Linked DNA regions of Saccharomyces cerevisiae S288C. The gene in region 1 interacts genetically with each later gene. Each region holds a gene or a part of one and is shown in the gene's direction. Other genes may lie near its edges.

What was found.
Region 2: mutations in HBT1 (region 1) and CHS1 are lethal when combined (synthetic lethality), as found in Saccharomyces cerevisiae (2 studies listed by BioGRID, with this or other methods).
Region 3: mutations in HBT1 (region 1) and FET5 together harm fitness more than expected from each alone (negative genetic interaction), as found in Saccharomyces cerevisiae (2 studies listed by BioGRID).
Region 4: mutations in HBT1 (region 1) and DMO1 together harm fitness more than expected from each alone (negative genetic interaction), as found in Saccharomyces cerevisiae (2 studies listed by BioGRID).

The regions. Positions count from the first base shown.
Region 1 is NC_001136.10:56,510-62,544, reverse strand, and holds HBT1 (Hbt1p), read left to right. Parts: upstream 1-2,139; coding exon 2,140-5,280; downstream 5,281-6,035. Other genes in the region: telomere-binding protein CDC13, read left to right, coding at 1-301; FMP45 (Fmp45p), read left to right, coding at 744-1,673. UniProt on the Saccharomyces cerevisiae protein: Polarity-determining protein which forms a conjugate with the ubiquitin-like modifier HUB1. Involved in bud site selection and cellular morphogenesis during conjugation. Required for survival during stationary phase.
Region 2 is NC_001146.8:274,810-280,397, forward strand, and holds CHS1 (chitin synthase CHS1), read left to right. Parts: upstream 1-1,692; coding exon 1,693-5,088; downstream 5,089-5,588. Other genes in the region: YNL193W (uncharacterized protein), read left to right, coding at 1-1,235. UniProt on the Saccharomyces cerevisiae protein: Polymerizes chitin, a structural polymer of the cell wall and septum, by transferring the sugar moiety of UDP-GlcNAc to the non-reducing end of the growing chitin polymer. Required for mitotic division septum formation during adverse conditions.
Region 3 is NC_001138.5:47,192-51,654, forward strand, and holds FET5 (ferroxidase FET5), read left to right. Parts: upstream 1-1,947; coding exon 1,948-3,816; downstream 3,817-4,463. Other genes in the region: LAM5 (Lam5p), read right to left, coding at 1-553; YFL041W-A (uncharacterized protein), read left to right, coding at 1,543-1,734; YFL040W (uncharacterized protein), read left to right, coding at 4,159-4,463. UniProt on the Saccharomyces cerevisiae protein: Iron transport multicopper oxidase, which is required for Fe(2+) high affinity uptake. May be required to oxidize Fe(2+) and release it from the transporter. Essential component of copper-dependent iron transport.
Region 4 is NC_001142.9:644,785-647,976, forward strand, and holds DMO1 (Dmo1p), read left to right. Parts: upstream 1-2,341; coding exon 2,342-2,692; downstream 2,693-3,192. Other genes in the region: JHD2 (histone demethylase), read right to left, coding at 1-1,706; ATP2 (F1F0 ATP synthase subunit beta), read left to right, coding at 2,823-3,192.

The DNA.
Region 1 (6,035 bases):
ATATACGCAATTGGCACAATTTCTCGGCCATTCATTTAAATTCAATATAACCTCCTCGCTCACGCTGTTCCCTGACACTACCGTGGCACTCCAGATCTGGTGCCCAATTGAATGCACCTTTCGGGAATTGCAACAACAGCTGGCCCATCCGAAGGTTGCAGCGGCTCCTGATTCAGGGAGTCTTGATTGCGCAATTAATGCTACCGTCAATCCTCTGCGACTTCTTGCCGCGCAAAATGGCGTCACCGTGAAAAAGGAGGAGGATAATGACGATGACGCCGGAGCCGTTCCCACCTCGTAAGACATGATCCGCGCAGCCCAACGCGGCGGTGCCAAATTGCAGTGACGTCTCGGAGTAATATAAAAAAAAAAGACCAAATAACCAAATTTAAGGGTGCTCTGAATATAAGGGAGTGGAACGTTTTCACACGAAGGAAAAGGGAAAGAGGGGAGTGGTAAGAAGCAAGAGTCAATGAAAGGTCTTCCTTCCTTCTTGATGCTAAAACAAGGATAGTCTGGAATGGGGAGGAGCATTCGGCGCAGATGCCGACATATAAAAGGATGGTTGCTTTGCAACAGTTACTTGATCTTGCTTTGTTCTCTTGATTAGTTATCCGTTAGATGCAAACTTTAAGTACAGTAATTTTGAAGTGAATTAAAAAGAAAGAGGTATTTACGTTTAACGCTTATACTTTCCTTTTTATCCAAGTAACAAGTAACACTAATCACTATAATCTACCGCTATGATTTTCAAAAGGTTCGTTAATTTGCTTGTGTTTTTATTCCTACTCGGTGCTGGCTTATTGACGTTTTTTCTTATTCTGTCAGGAGGCAGAGAATCTGGAACGCTGAAAAATTTTTATTGGTTACAGGCTGATACAAACGGCTTTAACAGCGCTCCATCGACCACGAGATGGTACAATTACAATTGGTGCGGCTACGAAGACGGCCAGCTAGCTAATTGCTCTAGCAGGGCGCCCGCCAAGCCTTTCTCTCCCAGAGACAATTTTGGTAACTCTGTCAATTTACCATCGTCGTTCAGAAACAACCGGGATACCTACTATTATCTATCCAGGGTTGGATGGGCCATGCTGCTGATTTCCCTATTTTTCATCGTACTGGCGCTGGTACCCGGCTTTCTGGCTACCTTCCTTCCTTTCAAGGCAGTGCCAGTCCTGTACTGTGTGTTGTCCTGGTTGGCCTTTTTCTTCATTATATTGGCTGCATGCTTGTACACAGGTTGCTATGTGAAGGCCAGAAAGACCTTCCGCAACAGCGGGAGGTCTGCAAGGCTGGGACCCAAAAACTTTGCGTTCATCTGGACTTCGGTCTTCTTGATGCTCGTGAACGCCATTTGGTCCACTATATTCAGTGCTACCCACAAGGCCCACTCTACCTACTCGGACCACGACATGTATGCCCAATATGAAAGCCCTTCTGTTGACACCGGTGCTCAAATGGAGAAATCCACTTACAATAGTGGGGCGACGGACGGCGCGGGCCCTATCACAGCCGCACCTGTGGTTGGACAGCCTCAACCTACAACCACCACTACTCCGGCTGGCAATGGCAAGTTCTTTCAAAAACTGAAAACAAGAAAGCAGGTGCCATCAGCTGAGTTAGAACCAGCTGGGGATGGTGGTCTTGCCGGGCCAGTGACGGTACGCGACTAGGAAGGAAATAATCACCATAAAATACTTCCTAATTTTTTTTTTCTTCCTACATTCGCAGTACCATAACTCTGCATCTACCTCCAACCGAAATATTTTTTTGTGACATGGTATAATCCATATGTATCGTGCTGAAATTTTTTCTTGGAGATTTTCATTTATTCTCCACCATTCTTTCTCGCCTCCCCTCCTCCTTTTCCTTCTAATAATAACTTAGTTCTTTTTCCTTCTTCATTAAAGAGACTAAGAAAAAAAAAACGTCAATAATACCCGGCACCTTAGTGTAATTAATAGTAATAATATTGAATTTAATTCTTTAATAATACCACCCCCTCAAGAAAATTAATATATAATACTAACTAACTCAAAAACACCTTTTTTTATATGTAACTGTAGAGATAAGAATAATACCGAACACCGTGAAGATTTCCCAGTGGAGAGCTATCAAGAATATCACCCAACCCAAGATATGAATATGAACGAGTCCATTTCCAAAGATGGTCAAGGCGAAGAAGAACAAAATAATTTTTCGTTTGGTGGTAAGCCCGGTTCCTATGATTCCAATTCAGATTCTGCTCAACGCAAAAAGTCTTTCAGTACTACAAAGCCGACCGAATATAACTTACCAAAAGAACAGCCCGAATCAACGTCCAAGAATTTGGAAACCAAGGCTAAAAACATTCTGTTACCTTGGAGGAAGAAGCATAATAAAGACTCGGAAACTCCACACGAAGACACTGAGGCGGACGCTAACCGCCGTGCCAACGTAACTTCTGATGTGAACCCTGTTTCTGCCGACACCAAGTCAAGTTCTGGCCCTAATGCTACTATTACTACCCATGGATACTCTTATGTCAAAACAACGACACCCGCTGCTACAAGTGAGCAATCCAAAGTGAAAACGTCACCTCCCACTAGCCATGAACATTCAAATATAAAGGCGTCCCCCACTGCGCATAGACATTCCAAAGGTGATGCAGGGCATCCAAGTATTGCAACCACTCATAACCACAGCACTTCCAAAGCTGCCACTTCTCCTGTTACTCACACGCATGGTCATTCCAGTGCTACCACTTCCCCTGTCACTCACACACATGGTCATGCCAGTGTGAAAACCACATCTCCTACCAATACTCATGAGCATTCTAAAGCGAATACTGGTCCATCAGCCACTGCAACTACACATGGACATATCAACGTCAAAACTACCCACCCTGTTAGCCATGGTCACTCTGGTTCAAGCACTGGTCCTAAATCCACCGCTGCTGCACAGGATCATTCCAGTACTAAAACTAACCCTTCAGTTACTCATGGACATACAAGTGTTAAAGATAACTCCTCAGCTACGAAGGGTTATTCGAACACTGATTCCAACTCAGATCGAGATGTCATACCTGGTAGTTTCCGGGGCATGACTGGTACTGATGTGAACCCTGTTGATCCTAGTGTTTACACAAGTACAGGCCCAAAGAGTAATGTTAGTTCCGGTATGAACGCTGTCGACCCTAGTGTCTACACGGACACAAGTTCGAAGTCTGCAGATCGTAGAAAGTACTCTGGCAACACTGCGACTGGTCCTCCTCAAGATACAATTAAAGAAATTGCACAGAACGTGAAGATGGATGAGAGCGAACAAACTGGATTGAAAAATGACCAAGTTTCTGGTTCTGATGCAATCCAACAGCAAACTATGGAACCTGAACCCAAAGCAGCAGTCGGGACAAGTGGTTTTGTAAGCCAGCAACCTTCTTATCATGATAGCAATAAAAACATTCAACACCCAGAAAAGAATAAGGTTGATAATAAAAATATATCAGAAAGAGCGGCTGAAAAATTTAACATTGAAAGAGATGACATTCTGGAATCCGCCGATGATTATCAACAGAAAAACATTAAATCCAAGACGGATTCTAATTGGGGTCCAATTGAATATAGTTCCAGCGCTGGTAAAAATAAGAATCTGCAGGATGTTGTTATACCTTCTAGTATGAAGGAGAAATTCGACAGCGGTACATCTGGATCTCAGAATATGCCTAAAGCGGGAACCGAATTAGGACATATGAAGTATAATGATAATGGTAGGGATAACTTGCAATATGTTGCCGGTTCACAAGCTGGTTCTCAAAATACGAACAACAATATTGACATGTCACCCCGTCATGAAGCAGAATGGTCCGGGCTTTCTAATGATGCCACCACCCGAAACAATGTTGTATCACCTGCTATGAAGGACGAAGATATGAATGAAGATTCTACTAAACCTCATCAATATGGGTTGGATTATTTGGATGATGTTGAAGACTACCACGAGAATGATATTGACGACTACTCAAATGCAAAGAAAAACGACTTGTATTCTAAGAAAGCGTACCAGGGAAAACCATCGGATTACAATTATGAGCAGAGAGAGAAAATCCCAGGTACTTTTGAACCTGATACGTTGTCAAAATCAGTGCAAAAACAAGATGAAGACCCGTTGTCTCCAAGGCAAACCACTAACCGTGCTGGTATGGAGACTGCAAGAGATGAGAGTCTTGGCAATTACGAATACTCGAATACTTCTGGTAACAAAAAATTATCTGATTTAAGCAAAAATAAATCAGGCCCAACTCCAACGCGTTCTAATTTTATTGACCAAATTGAGCCAAGAAGAGCAAAAACAACACAGGATATTGCATCCGATGCCAAGGATTTCACCAATAATCCGGAAACAGGTACTACTGGAAACGTAGATACAACCGGAAGGATGGGTGCAAAATCCAAGACCTTCAGCTCGAACCCTTTTGATGATAGTAAAAATACAGACACTCATCTCGAAAACGCTAATGTTGCTGCCTTTGATAATTCCAGATCTGGAGACACTACATACTCCAAATCAGGGGATGCTGAAACAGCTGCTTACGATAATATTAAAAATGCGGACCCTACATATGCCAAATCACAAGATATTACTGGAATGACTCACGATCAGGAACCATCATCAGAACAAAAGGCCAGTTACGGTTCTGGCGGCAATTCCCAAAATCAAGAATATTCTAGCGACGATAATATTGATGTCAATAAGAATGCGAAAGTTTTAGAGGAAGACGCACCGGGCTACAAGCGTGAAGTAGATTTGAAGAACAAACGTAGAACCGACCTTGGTGGTGCCGACGCCTCAAACGCTTATGCTGCCGAAGTTGGTAATTTCCCTAGTTTGATTGACCCACATGTCCCAACATACGGATTTAAAGACACCAACACCTCTAGTTCTCAAAAGCCATCTGAGGGCACCTACCCAGAAACCACTTCCTATTCAATTCATAATGAAACAACTTCTCAGGGAAGGAAAGTGTCGGTGGGTTCAATGGGTTCCGGAAAATCAAAACATCATCACAATCATCACCGTCACAGCAGACAGAATTCTTCAAAAGGGTCTGACTACGACTATAATAATTCTACTCATTCAGCCGAGCACACTCCAAGACATCATCAGTACGGTTCCGATGAGGGTGAGCAAGATTACCATGACGACGAGCAAGGTGAGGAACAGGCTGGTAAACAAAGTTTCATGGGTAGAGTGAGAAAAAGTATTTCTGGCGGTACTTTTGGATTTAGGAGTGAAATTTAAACACTTCTCGATTAACAAATTCCCAGTATTCTTTGAAATCTATTTTTCTTCCTCAATTGAATTTGAATAACTGTCTACGCGGACTCCTCCTATCTACAACTACAACAAATTTTAACCACTTTATTACCACTTTCCTCTTTCATTTATTTTTGTCTTTTATGTTGTCAATTTACTAGTATTTTTTTTTTTTTCATTTACGTTCAAGGTTTTTTATACTCATTTAACTTGTCTTAGGTTATTTATATATATACCTATATATTTATATATATATATATATATGTATGTATATATTATTATCACCAAATGAGAAATAATAGCTAATTTGATTTTTGATTATTTAAAATATTGGTTTGTTCTTTCTGCAAACATCTCGTTTGGTACGATATTAGTGAAAAACGATGTAATTATCAACACGTGCATTACCCAGCGTTATATTTTCATTACCCGGACGTGGTGTTTTTTGTTTTTTAATGTTTCTTAGACTTAAAGAGGAATGGAATGGTTATTTGGATTAAATCATAGAAAAGTACAATTAAGGTTACGGCAGGAGCCTCGAACCGGTAGTTTTACAGAAAATAGACCCATCTGGTGGCAACACTAAATCATTGAAATAATAGCAAACAATTGTTTCAAAACTCCTCCCATTTGGATCTCATCTCAATTGTTTTTTCCTTCTTAGTTAAAAGTTCACGAAATTAGGAAATCTAAGAATCAAAATATAATCCGCTGTTATTTCTGCGTGTAAAGGTTTATCT
Region 2 (5,588 bases), on another chromosome or scaffold:
TATTGACATGTTATTTGACTCTCATAGAGTCCCTAGACGACACCGTTTCGCCCACCGTTGCAATGGAAGGTGCAGACATTTTAACTTTGACAAACAAGTATATTGAAATCTTTCAACACCTGGTTAATTATCTGTTACAAGAACTACAAAACTGGAGTGAAAATGCAGAACAAGATTCCGATGACACAGATACGGAATTGCAAAGAGATACTTTGGATGAAGACGCGATGCAAGTTACCAGGGACGGAAGTGGTATCCGAACCAATGGACCTGTACAACCTCCAGCAGAAGTTATGGACGTTTCTGAACAAGTGACTCCGTCTTCACTTACCGAAGTACTCGCCAACTCTTTAAAGTTCAACCATGCTTTGATGGAATTGGTTATTGAGTCGAAAATATCTATTGAAAAAAATGTCGAAACGAAAATCTTGAATCCTATTCAGATTAATTTCTTGGAAGATACAACCAATAAATTCTATTTACAACTACGCGACATTATAGACTCCATTTCCGCCGCCATTCCATTAGATTTGAAGGAAATCGGTTTAGCCAAGACTTTAATTGAAGGTTTGAACATCATTAGCTCCGGAACCTTCGAGTCATTGCAAGATTTTGTTCTGCAAACCGTCTCCTTTACCGATCTGCTTGATGAAAAAGATGTACAGGGTAAGATTGATCTTTCGTTGATTAGAGTTGATATCGTTGAATTTGCCATTCTATGTTTAAACGATTATTCTTCAGATGCATCTTGGAAACTCTCTGGGTTATTGACCAAAGTTCTTACAGAGGCTAGAACTTTATTAACAGACTATAGAAATCAAATCTTGTTTCTGAAAAATCAGACATTGAACGAACAATTGAGTCACGTAGTTTTTCAACTTTGTGATGTCTTAGTAAATTCCTCCGATAATGAACTGAGAAGGTACGCTATAAAAGAATCAACTGAAAAGTCACAAAAAACCCCCGGGGGAGCGCATACTTTAAACATATTGATGAAAAACGCTAACGTTTTTCTGAATAATGCTGTCGCTATCTCATCAAAACAGTGCGGGTTACAAGAAACGATTATTGATAAACTGAAGAGGAACTATATCCATAATCAAGCCAAGGAAAGACTACTTTTCTTACAGAGGCTGGAACAGAAGTCAAATGAGGATGACGGTACTTCTGCTTCGCCTACCGCAATGACGTTCGATATGCCACCAGAACACCCTTTTTATAGCCACTATCGGTAGTGAAATTACGTACATATACATAAGTAGAAGATAATTCGTTGCGCATATGCTACAAGAACCCTTGGTGAAACGAAATTTGATACAAGTAAATACATGCAGGAAACATACATTACCTCTGAAACAAAGCCGAGACGGGGCCCAGCAGTCTTTTTTTAGAAATCGCGTGGCTTGGTAACGCGATAATGACGCGACACAGCCATTAGTGTGAAATTTGATTTTCTTGGCCAAACTAGGTATAATATTTGTTACAAATTATTGATTTTAATATATATCTCGGGTTCATTTTTTACGTCGGTACTCCAAAGGATCAGAACACTTACATTTTGAGGCCTACCGGACCTTGCAGTACTGCTTGTTTAAATACGCAGTATACATTTCTTCTTCTTCTTCTCTCTTCTTTCCTTCCTCGAAGAGTCACTAAATTAATACTGGGAAGCCAAACCAAAAAAACTATACAATGAGTGATCAAAATAATCGATCGAGAAATGAATATCACTCAAACCGGAAGAATGAACCTTCCTATGAACTCCAAAATGCACATAGCGGGCTATTTCACTCTTCTAATGAAGAATTAACAAACAGGAACCAAAGATATACCAATCAAAATGCCAGCATGGGTTCATTCACTCCAGTCCAATCTTTGCAATTTCCAGAACAATCTCAGCAAACAAATATGCTTTATAACGGTGACGATGGCAATAATAATACTATCAATGATAACGAACGAGACATATATGGAGGTTTTGTCAACCACCATCGCCAGCGTCCCCCACCAGCAACTGCAGAATACAATGACGTTTTTAATACGAATAGTCAACAGCTACCGTCGGAACATCAATACAATAACGTACCTTCATATCCACTTCCTTCGATAAATGTGATTCAAACCACTCCAGAACTCATACATAACGGCTCACAGACTATGGCCACCCCCATCGAAAGGCCCTTCTTTAACGAAAACGACTACTATTATAATAACAGGAACTCTAGGACGTCACCGAGTATTGCTTCTAGTAGCGATGGTTATGCAGATCAGGAAGCTAGGCCCATTTTGGAGCAACCCAACAATAACATGAATAGCGGTAATATTCCTCAATACCATGACCAACCTTTTGGATACAACAATGGTTACCATGGCCTACAGGCAAAAGATTACTATGACGATCCGGAGGGTGGTTATATTGATCAGAGAGGAGATGACTATCAGATTAATTCATATTTGGGTAGAAACGGTGAAATGGTTGATCCTTACGATTATGAAAACAGTTTAAGACATATGACTCCTATGGAGCGTAGAGAATATCTTCATGATGATAGCAGACCCGTAAACGATGGAAAAGAAGAATTAGACAGTGTGAAAAGCGGTTACTCTCATAGAGACTTGGGGGAATATGACAAGGATGATTTTTCAAGGGATGACGAGTACGATGATCTCAACACTATTGATAAATTACAGTTTCAAGCTAATGGTGTACCTGCATCATCCTCGGTGTCTTCTATCGGATCTAAAGAATCCGACATAATAGTAAGCAATGATAACTTAACCGCAAATAGAGCACTAAAGAGAAGCGGTACTGAAATTAGGAAATTCAAACTTTGGAATGGTAATTTTGTTTTCGATTCTCCAATCAGTAAGACGCTATTGGACCAATACGCTACTACAACAGAAAATGCAAACACTTTACCAAATGAGTTTAAGTTTATGAGATATCAAGCAGTTACTTGCGAACCTAATCAACTTGCAGAGAAGAATTTCACGGTGAGGCAGTTGAAGTATTTAACTCCAAGGGAAACGGAATTGATGCTAGTAGTCACAATGTATAATGAAGACCATATCCTGTTAGGAAGAACTTTGAAAGGTATTATGGACAATGTCAAATATATGGTGAAAAAAAAAAATTCAAGCACTTGGGGGCCGGATGCATGGAAAAAGATTGTCGTTTGTATCATTTCAGATGGTAGATCCAAAATTAATGAACGCTCGCTAGCATTACTAAGTTCGTTAGGTTGTTACCAGGACGGGTTTGCTAAGGATGAAATTAATGAAAAAAAAGTGGCAATGCATGTCTACGAACATACGACAATGATCAACATCACAAATATTTCGGAATCAGAGGTTTCATTAGAATGCAATCAAGGTACCGTTCCAATACAACTTTTGTTTTGTTTGAAAGAGCAAAATCAGAAAAAAATTAACTCACATAGATGGGCATTTGAAGGCTTTGCAGAATTACTGCGTCCCAATATCGTTACATTGTTAGATGCTGGTACCATGCCAGGTAAAGATTCTATTTACCAGTTATGGAGAGAGTTCAGGAATCCAAATGTTGGTGGCGCATGTGGTGAAATAAGAACTGATTTGGGTAAGAGATTTGTAAAGCTTTTGAATCCTTTAGTTGCATCACAGAATTTCGAATACAAAATGTCCAATATTTTAGACAAAACAACCGAGTCTAACTTTGGATTTATTACTGTTCTACCGGGGGCATTCTCTGCGTATAGGTTTGAAGCTGTGAGAGGCCAACCATTACAGAAGTACTTTTATGGTGAAATTATGGAAAATGAAGGTTTTCATTTTTTTTCTTCCAATATGTATCTTGCTGAAGATCGTATTTTATGCTTTGAAGTGGTCACAAAAAAAAATTGTAATTGGATTTTGAAATACTGCAGAAGTTCTTATGCTTCAACAGATGTACCGGAGAGGGTCCCTGAATTTATTCTTCAGAGGAGGCGTTGGTTGAATGGTTCATTTTTTGCTAGTGTATATTCCTTTTGTCATTTTTACAGAGTCTGGAGCAGTGGTCATAATATTGGTAGAAAACTCCTTTTGACGGTTGAATTTTTTTACCTTTTCTTCAATACATTGATTTCATGGTTTTCATTGAGTTCATTTTTCCTAGTCTTTAGAATTCTCACTGTTTCTATTGCACTGGCATACCATTCAGCATTTAATGTGTTGTCCGTCATATTCCTGTGGCTTTATGGGATTTGTACCTTATCAACATTCATACTGTCATTGGGTAATAAACCTAAAAGTACTGAGAAATTTTATGTTCTAACTTGCGTCATTTTTGCGGTGATGATGATTTACATGATATTCTGCAGTATATTCATGAGTGTCAAATCCTTCCAAAATATATTGAAAAACGATACCATCAGCTTTGAGGGTTTGATTACCACAGAAGCTTTCAGGGATATTGTTATCTCTCTGGGCTCCACTTATTGTTTGTACCTAATCAGTTCAATTATCTATTTGCAGCCATGGCATATGTTGACAAGTTTTATTCAGTATATTTTATTGAGTCCTTCTTACATCAATGTTTTGAATATCTATGCATTTTGTAATGTCCACGACTTATCATGGGGTACAAAGGGTGCAATGGCAAATCCGCTGGGTAAGATTAATACTACAGAAGATGGTACGTTCAAAATGGAAGTTCTGGTCTCTAGTTCAGAGATTCAAGCAAACTACGATAAATATTTGAAAGTTTTAAATGACTTCGATCCAAAATCAGAATCTCGGCCTACTGAGCCATCTTATGATGAAAAAAAGACTGGCTATTATGCAAACGTTAGATCTCTCGTGATTATCTTTTGGGTCATCACAAATTTCATCATCGTTGCTGTTGTCTTAGAAACCGGTGGGATTGCAGATTATATTGCTATGAAATCCATATCAACTGATGACACTTTAGAAACTGCAAAGAAGGCGGAAATTCCCTTAATGACCAGTAAGGCCTCAATTTATTTTAATGTAATTTTATGGTTAGTTGCATTATCGGCATTAATAAGGTTCATTGGTTGCTCAATATACATGATAGTAAGGTTTTTTAAAAAGGTTACATTTCGCTAAGTAGATTGATTACCCCTTTGTTATAAATAAGTATATGTGTTTACTATCATATAATAATTAATTAGTTGTAAGTATGGTATTTTTCAAAGAAACATTTAGTATTATTTTTAAAGGGTGCCTTTACCATAAAACCAAAAAAAAATGGCTTCTGAGAGAAAAACATAAATAATTGATAAAACTGAAACTCACAACACCAACTCTTCCGCTCTAAACACCCAAAGCTCAAAAAACGACATGTGCACATCTATATCCATAAACTTTCAAAAAAGTGGTTCATTCGCAAATTCATGAAGTATTATTTAATACACAGTAATCTGGCATTTCATACTATCATTGCTCAAATTATCCGCCGGACCCTTGAAACTGTGGCGCTTTTTAAGACGCATCTCCAAAAAAAGAAAAAGAACAAAAGAAAAAAAGCTGCAAATATATATACAAAACAGATTTCACGTTTATTGCTTGGGAGTAAGGTAACGATCCGGAAGCCTTGAAGAAATTTG
Region 3 (4,463 bases), on another chromosome or scaffold:
TGTAACGTTCTTCCACGAATCGTCTATGATCGTAATTGTCTTCTTTCATTTGGGAAGGAGTGAGTCTTGTCTTGACCTCATCAGGCTTTTCCACCTGTTGCAAGGGAGAGCCTATTTCAGCAATTGTGGCATTACTGATACGGCGGCTTGATCTTCTTTTGGACCCCATGGAAGGCTCCCTTCTATGTGATATAATGCTTGGTTGCGAAACTGGCGAAGTTGGCGTAGTTGATCTAGAAACTGGGGATGGCACGTTTGACTTAAACGAAGAGATCATTCCACTGAAGAACGAGGACGTCGAAGAAGTCCTTGATTGATCGTGCTTGATCTCTGTAGGGTGTTCATCGGCGGCACTTTGGTTTGTAATCACTACTAAATTCTTGCGTACGTCGTTGGTCTCTGTATTTAGGGGCACTTCTTGCAGTGACTCAGCTTCAGTATCGCCGGCATTGTCATTGTTACTTGCATGCTCAAAGGGGGGACCCAATTGTTTCACAGAATCAGTACTGTCCTCATTATCTGATACGGGTTCCCAGTTATCTACATCCGACATCACCACTAATCTTTTTGTGTAGTTGCCTTCTTCACCCTTTTCTCAGATAGCGAAATGGTTGAGTGTTTTAATATAATTGTCAAGATGCTTTATGAAAAAGGGTGGGAGAAACAAGTCCCCCTGCTCAGCGATACGCGATCTCTCTGATCTCAGACATAAAGCAAACATTCTATCATGAGTGACATTGAGGATGACGGTAATTGGTAATATCTGACCTTCTGACCTCCACTCAACACAATGCAGAAAGCTATCAAATGTTTTGAACCAAACATGAAAGAGATTCAGAAAGTTGCCAAGCCAACGTGATGTCACAGGTCAAAGTTTAAGTGAAGGCTATTGGAATCTGCGGATCAGACATTCACTACTACACGGATGGCCAGGTCAGCGTAAAGTAACCTGGGAAGCCCATGACTTTGGGCCACGAATCCAACGGTGCTGTTCTTGAAATTGAAGTATCTCAAACTACTGTAAAGCGGGTGATGCAGTAAGCATATAGCCCTCATACCCAAATAGGTTTACCAAAGAGTTTCTGTGAGGCCATTATAGTTTGCAGCTCAACATACCATTTGCTGCATCACTGACCGTGACGGCACCCTTTGTCAAGAGTTCGTGGTTAACGTCGACTGCGTTTACTGATTACCGTTACAGTGAATTTCTAGCAAGAGTCCTCTGTAGATGCCACTATTTGTCGCTCTCCATGTAGTAAGGCCGTCCTAGCTGAAGTGTGGGGAGTAAGCTGTAGTTATAGGTGCTGGAACAATTGATCTGCTGGCGGGTGCGGTACTCAGAGGGTTTGGTGTTCATGAGTACACATGATTCCAAGAAAGAGCAAAATGGACAGTTTATAAACGCTATGAAGAACTGCTATAATCAGAAAAAAAGGAAGCCTGATGGATTCGAGTCCTCAGGTACTCAAAAGAGCGTTGAGAATATGCTAAAATGTGTCAAGAACGGTGGAACAGTTAAGTAGGTTGATATCCACCCCTCGAATGAAAATGTGGGGACCCTCCCAACGAGATTCCTTCAGAGAGATTACATATAAAGTGAAATTCAAGTATGACGATGGTGACTACTCCTTGGCCATTGATTTGATGTCTAGGGATTGTATTAATGTCTATGAGTTGATTACCGATAGGCTACTGGTTGATTTCCTTTCAAAAAAGCTGCTCAAGCTAAGATAGGTAAGGTGTTTATAGAATTTATCGAACTGTATCTAAATATTTTTAATATTCTTGTTTTATTACTTTGTGGCTTTTGTATTCAGTCTGCACCCTGTTTCGCCATCGATTCTTATAATACATACATTTTTATATAAGATCACAGAAAATACGAAGACGTAAAAAAAGAGTTCCGAATGAAAGAAGAAAGAATCAAGCACAGGAAGACAAGAAACGATGTTGTTCTACTCGTTCGTGTGGTCTGTACTGGCCGCTAGTGTTGCTTTGGCAAAGACACATAAGTTAAACTATACCGCTTCTTGGGTAACTGCCAATCCTGATGGATTGCATGAAAAAAGGATGATTGGTTTTAATGGCGAATGGCCACTTCCAGATATCCATGTTGAAAAAGGAGATCGTGTTGAGCTTTATTTGACTAACGGCTTTCAAGACAATACTGCTACTTCTCTACATTTCCATGGTCTTTTCCAGAATACGAGTTTGGGGAACCAGCTTCAAATGGATGGTCCTTCTATGGTGACACAATGTCCCATCGTTCCGGGACAAACATACCTGTACAACTTCACTGTCCCAGAGCAGGTAGGAACGTTCTGGTACCATGCACACATGGGTGCCCAGTACGGTGACGGTATGAGGGGTGCATTTATCATCCACGATCCGGAGGAGCCCTTCGAATATGATCATGAACGAGTCATCACTCTATCGGACCATTATCACGAAAATTATAAAACGGTTACCAAAGAGTTTCTGTCAAGATATAATCCAACCGGTGCTGAACCTATTCCTCAAAATATTCTTTTTAATAATACGATGAATGTAACTTTAGATTTTACACCCGGTGAAACGTATCTCTTCAGGTTCTTGAACGTTGGGCTGTTTGTATCCCAGTATATCATTCTTGAGGATCATGAAATGAGTATAGTAGAGGTGGACGGTGTTTACGTAAAGCCAAACTTTACTGATTCGATATATCTTTCTGCGGGGCAAAGAATGAGTGTGTTGATTAAAGCTAAAGATAAAATGCCTACAAGAAACTACGCTATGATGCAAATAATGGATGAGACGATGCTTGATGTTGTCCCACCTGAGTTACAACTCAACCAAACTATCCAAATGAGGTATGGCCACTCGTTGCCGGAGGCACGCGCATTGAACATTGAAGATTGTGACTTGGACCGCGCCACGAATGACTTTTACCTAGAACCTCTGATTGAGAGAGACCTACTTGCTCACTATGACCACCAAATTGTCATGGATGTAAGAATGGTCAACTTGGGTGATGGTGTGAAGTATGCATTTTTCAATAATATCACTTACGTCACACCAAAGGTGCCTACTTTGACAACGTTGCTTACCTCAGGAAAGCTTGCGTCAGATCCTAGAATTTATGGTGATAATATCAATGCGCAGTTATTGAAACATAATGATATCATAGAGGTTGTTCTAAACAATTATGATTCTGGCAGACATCCATTCCATTTGCACGGTCATAATTTCCAAATAGTCCAAAAGTCGCCAGGGTTCCATGTTGATGAAGCTTATGACGAATCTGAGCAAGATGAAATGACCGTCCCTTATAACGAATCTGCGCCATTACAACCGTTCCCTGAGAGGCCGATGGTGAGAGATACAGTGGTTCTTGAACCTAGTGGACATGTTGTCCTGAGATTTAGAGCTGACAACCCTGGTGTCTGGTATTTCCATTGTCATGTAGATTGGCACTTACAACAAGGTTTGGCTTCGGTCTTTATTGAGGCACCCGTTTTACTTCAGGAAAGGGAAAAGCTTAATGAGAACTATCTGGATATATGCAAAGCCGCTGATATTCCGGTAGTTGGTAATGCTGCAGGTCATTCGAATGATTGGTTTGACTTAAAAGGATTACCAAGACAACCTGAGCCACTACCAAAGGGATTTACTACTGAAGGATATTTGGCATTGATTATTTCAACCATTATCGGTGTCTGGGGCCTATATTCCATTGCTCAGTATGGTATTGGCGAGGTTATCCCTAACGATGAGAAGGTGTACCACACGTTAAGGGAAATCTTGGCTGAAAATGAAATAGAGGTTTCTCGCGGCTAATTAAACAAGAAAATATAAAAGAAAAATGAAAGAAGTTTATATTCATATTGATGATTTGCAATCCTAAAAAAAATGTAGCACTGTAAATACTGCTTACTATTGAGTATTTTCATTTTGTTCATTCCATTCCCTATATAATATTCATACGTAATCAAATCTATTGCTTTTTTTTTCTCTTTTATTTCGTTGTTTTAGCTCTGACGTTGTGACGCTCAGCCAAGAACGTCACAAAAAAAGGATGAAAATCAAAAAACAAAATATTCAATAAGTGTAATATGAGAAGAGAAAAAAGAAAGAACAAGTACAGTTTCTAACATTATACTTTAAAAATTATTAAGCACAATGACAGCAATGAAAGCTATTGTCTGGAGACTTCCCAAGATGCCGAAAATCAAAATTACAAAAACTTATGAAGTTACGAAAATTACGGCGATATTGACACTAGTAGGATTTATAATGGGCCTTGAGGTGCCGTCATTGGCAACTTTTCTCACAAACAAAACGTTTAATGAGTACTTCAAGTATCCAACTCCTTTACAACAAGGTTTACTCATGGGGTCCACCCCCCTGGGTGGTATCATGGGATGTTTTATTTGCTGCATAATGAATGATAGATTCAGTAGAATATATCAATTTCAATCGGGAAT
Region 4 (3,192 bases), on another chromosome or scaffold:
TTGTCCAAAACATTGATCATTAAATCAAACATATCAAAAACACATGCTTTCTGAGTTAATTTATAATCCGTAATCGCACCAAATCCATATGGTAGCCAGAAATCTATAGTAAAATTGACAGCTTCATTAAAATTATAACCTGTATTAAAACCAGCATGGTAACATTTAGGAAACGTGATAATATATTCGTTGGGCTTTTGCACAGCTTTGTACACAGGAATACCTGATTTCTTGAAATTTGGATCGTACGGAGATATTAAAGTCACTAGCTGATGCAGTAGGTCTGGTTGTTTGATAAATAAGTCTGGTGACATATCATTTAATAGATCGTTGAATTTCGTACATCCCGATTCGGGAATGCTGTACCAGACCTTAGGGTCACCTTCATGTTGATAGTTAGCACTTAGGGTATACTGATCTTCCATATGCCAACAAAATGTGGAAAATAAGGAGCCTATGTAAATCCAAGGAATAGTCATGCCAGAAATATTTCTTTTAAATAACGGTAATAGCGAATTATGAGCCATAGGCAAGTTAGTTAAATTCATAGGATGATCGCAATATTTGAGGTAGTCTATCAATTCGTCCCCATTTATATTTTTGGGTATAAATTCTCTCGTCGGAAAGCCGGTAATTTGACCTGGCAATTCGTTATGTATGTCAGCACCGTATTTAACTGTCGTTAATGAACTGCGACGATTCTTGGTCACTAAGCTCCAAAACATCTCTTCCAACTCATCTATAGACAGTTTTCGTGCTGGTAATAACCTTGAATTTTGACGTTTACAATATTCTTGAAACTCTGGTAGAGAATAGTCATGCGTGTCCTGAGTGAATCCGTAATATCCGTTTCCGACGATACAAGTGTTACAAATCCAATCGCCAGAGGGAACACGTTCCAAAGGTGGTGATAAACAATATATATGGAATGGTTTGTCACATGAATCACATAAAATTGTTCTTTTTGGATCATTTGTCTTGCGACAAACAATACAAGCATCATCATCGTCCTCCTCAAAATCCGACCCAGAATTCGAATCTGGCCCAAGATCGAAATCGTCCTCGTCATCACTTAATAAGGATTTTGGATACTGGTCAGCATGCAGCGCCGTGTGCACGTTCTCGTTCAGTGAATGAAGAAATATGTAGTATGAGGCAATATATTTCTCAAAAATTTCCTTTAACAAGCCGATTGGTACGTTGAATTTTTTAGAAATGGTCCTCCATAGACTGATGTCGCCTCTTAATTGGGAAATATCTCTAAATTTCAATTTTCGCCTGAATGACTGTGTAGTGTCAGTAAGTGTCCGATTGTCTTTTATTAGTTCAGAGAAAACGTCATAAAAGTACACTTTTTTTTTTAGTATTTCCGATGCATGAGTAGAATCTGAATATTCTACAATCGTATAAGGTTCCCTAAGTATAAGTTTCGATGGATCCTTAACGGATCTTTTAAAATTATTTAACTGTTTCATAAAAAATAGCCTACACCTATTTTTCAGGTCTAGGTTCTCCAGATTTTGAATTCTTGGTTGAAAAGTAAAATTTTCCATATCAATAGAAAGTGGCGGGCAGAACCCGTTTGGTGGTACGACCTTGACCATACCATATCGTACACCAAGCCTTTTAATGTGGGGGTTAGAGAGATAATCGATCGGATTTTTGAATTCTTGTTCCGTTGGATACAGGGCAGGAATTTCCTCCATGATAGTGATACGTTTTTTGTGCAAGATGAGATTAGTTAATATGATCTAGAGGTAAAATTGACTAAGTAGTCAGATCTTATTCTACATTGAGCCTGCGTTGTCAACATGCACATCTCTGTCTCTTGGGATGATAATTTTTCAATGATGATTCCAGGGTTACTTTAACGTTACACAAAAGAAATTAATTAGTGCGGCTGTTTCTGTGAGCGGGGCAGTAAGTCCGAAGCCCTTGATATTAGCCCATACCCTACACATTTTACTCGTTTGCCCTACATCAGATAAAATACTGGCCCTAAGCCCTCCTAATCTCTTCTGGTTACACCTAGGGTAAAATATCTGCCTTTCTTTGCATTCAATGCGTTACTTCTATATCACGAGATGAGCATACGGATCGTGTATAATACTAAAAAGAAAGCTCCTGAAAGAGTTGTGACAAGCAAGACTGTATACTACTCCTTCTACGAAAGTTAGTTCGAGTTCTTGATGGCACTTGGCTATTCTATTTCTTGAACCTTTGAGAAAGAACAGAAGTAAAAGGCTGTGTATTCTGCTACATGAAATACAGTAGTAGTCACAGTACAAAAATACTCTAAACCAGTAATAAAGCCACATATATATGTATTTCCTTTCACGTGATGCGCTGGGATGTTATCATCTTATACGCAATTAGCCGCCCATATGCCACCCGGCGCACCGGGTCGCACACACACCCCCGTGATTCGCGATATATAGCGGCCAATCAACGGCGACCTCCAAGCGCGTGCCGGGTGGGCCCCTCGCCGGCCAAGCAGCGCAAGGATATTCCCATCTTCGAGCTCTTAGATACAACGCTTATAAAGAACGCACTTTTTGCATTAACCTCTTTTTTGTATTACAGAACAAACATTTTAACTTGCCCTTTTTTAAACTTTCTTTATCTCTCCAGGACAGGCCAATTGGATAAATTTTGCAAAGATCAAACAGTAACACAAATTTTAGCAACCTAAACCCCCCTCATAAACGAAGACAAAAGTGCTCCTCCTCAAGTCAAATTTGTCTTTCTTTTCTTTCATTTTTTAGTCTGTTGTTATCCAATTTATACTGAATCTTTGAGAGAAAACAAAAATAAAAAAAAGAATGGTTTTGCCAAGACTATATACTGCTACATCCCGTGCTGCTTTTAAAGCAGCCAAACAATCCGCTCCGCTTCTATCCACTTCGTGGAAAAGATGTATGGCCTCAGCTGCTCAATCTACTCCAATCACCGGTAAAGTTACCGCTGTCATTGGTGCCATTGTTGACGTTCATTTTGAACAATCAGAGTTGCCCGCTATTTTGAACGCTTTAGAAATTAAAACACCTCAAGGTAAGTTGGTTTTGGAAGTTGCTCAACATTTGGGTGAAAACACTGTCAGAACCATTGCTATGGATGGTACCGAAGGTTTGGTCCGTGGTGAAAAGGTTCTTGACACTGGTGGCCCTATCTCCGTCCCAGTTGGGAGAGAAA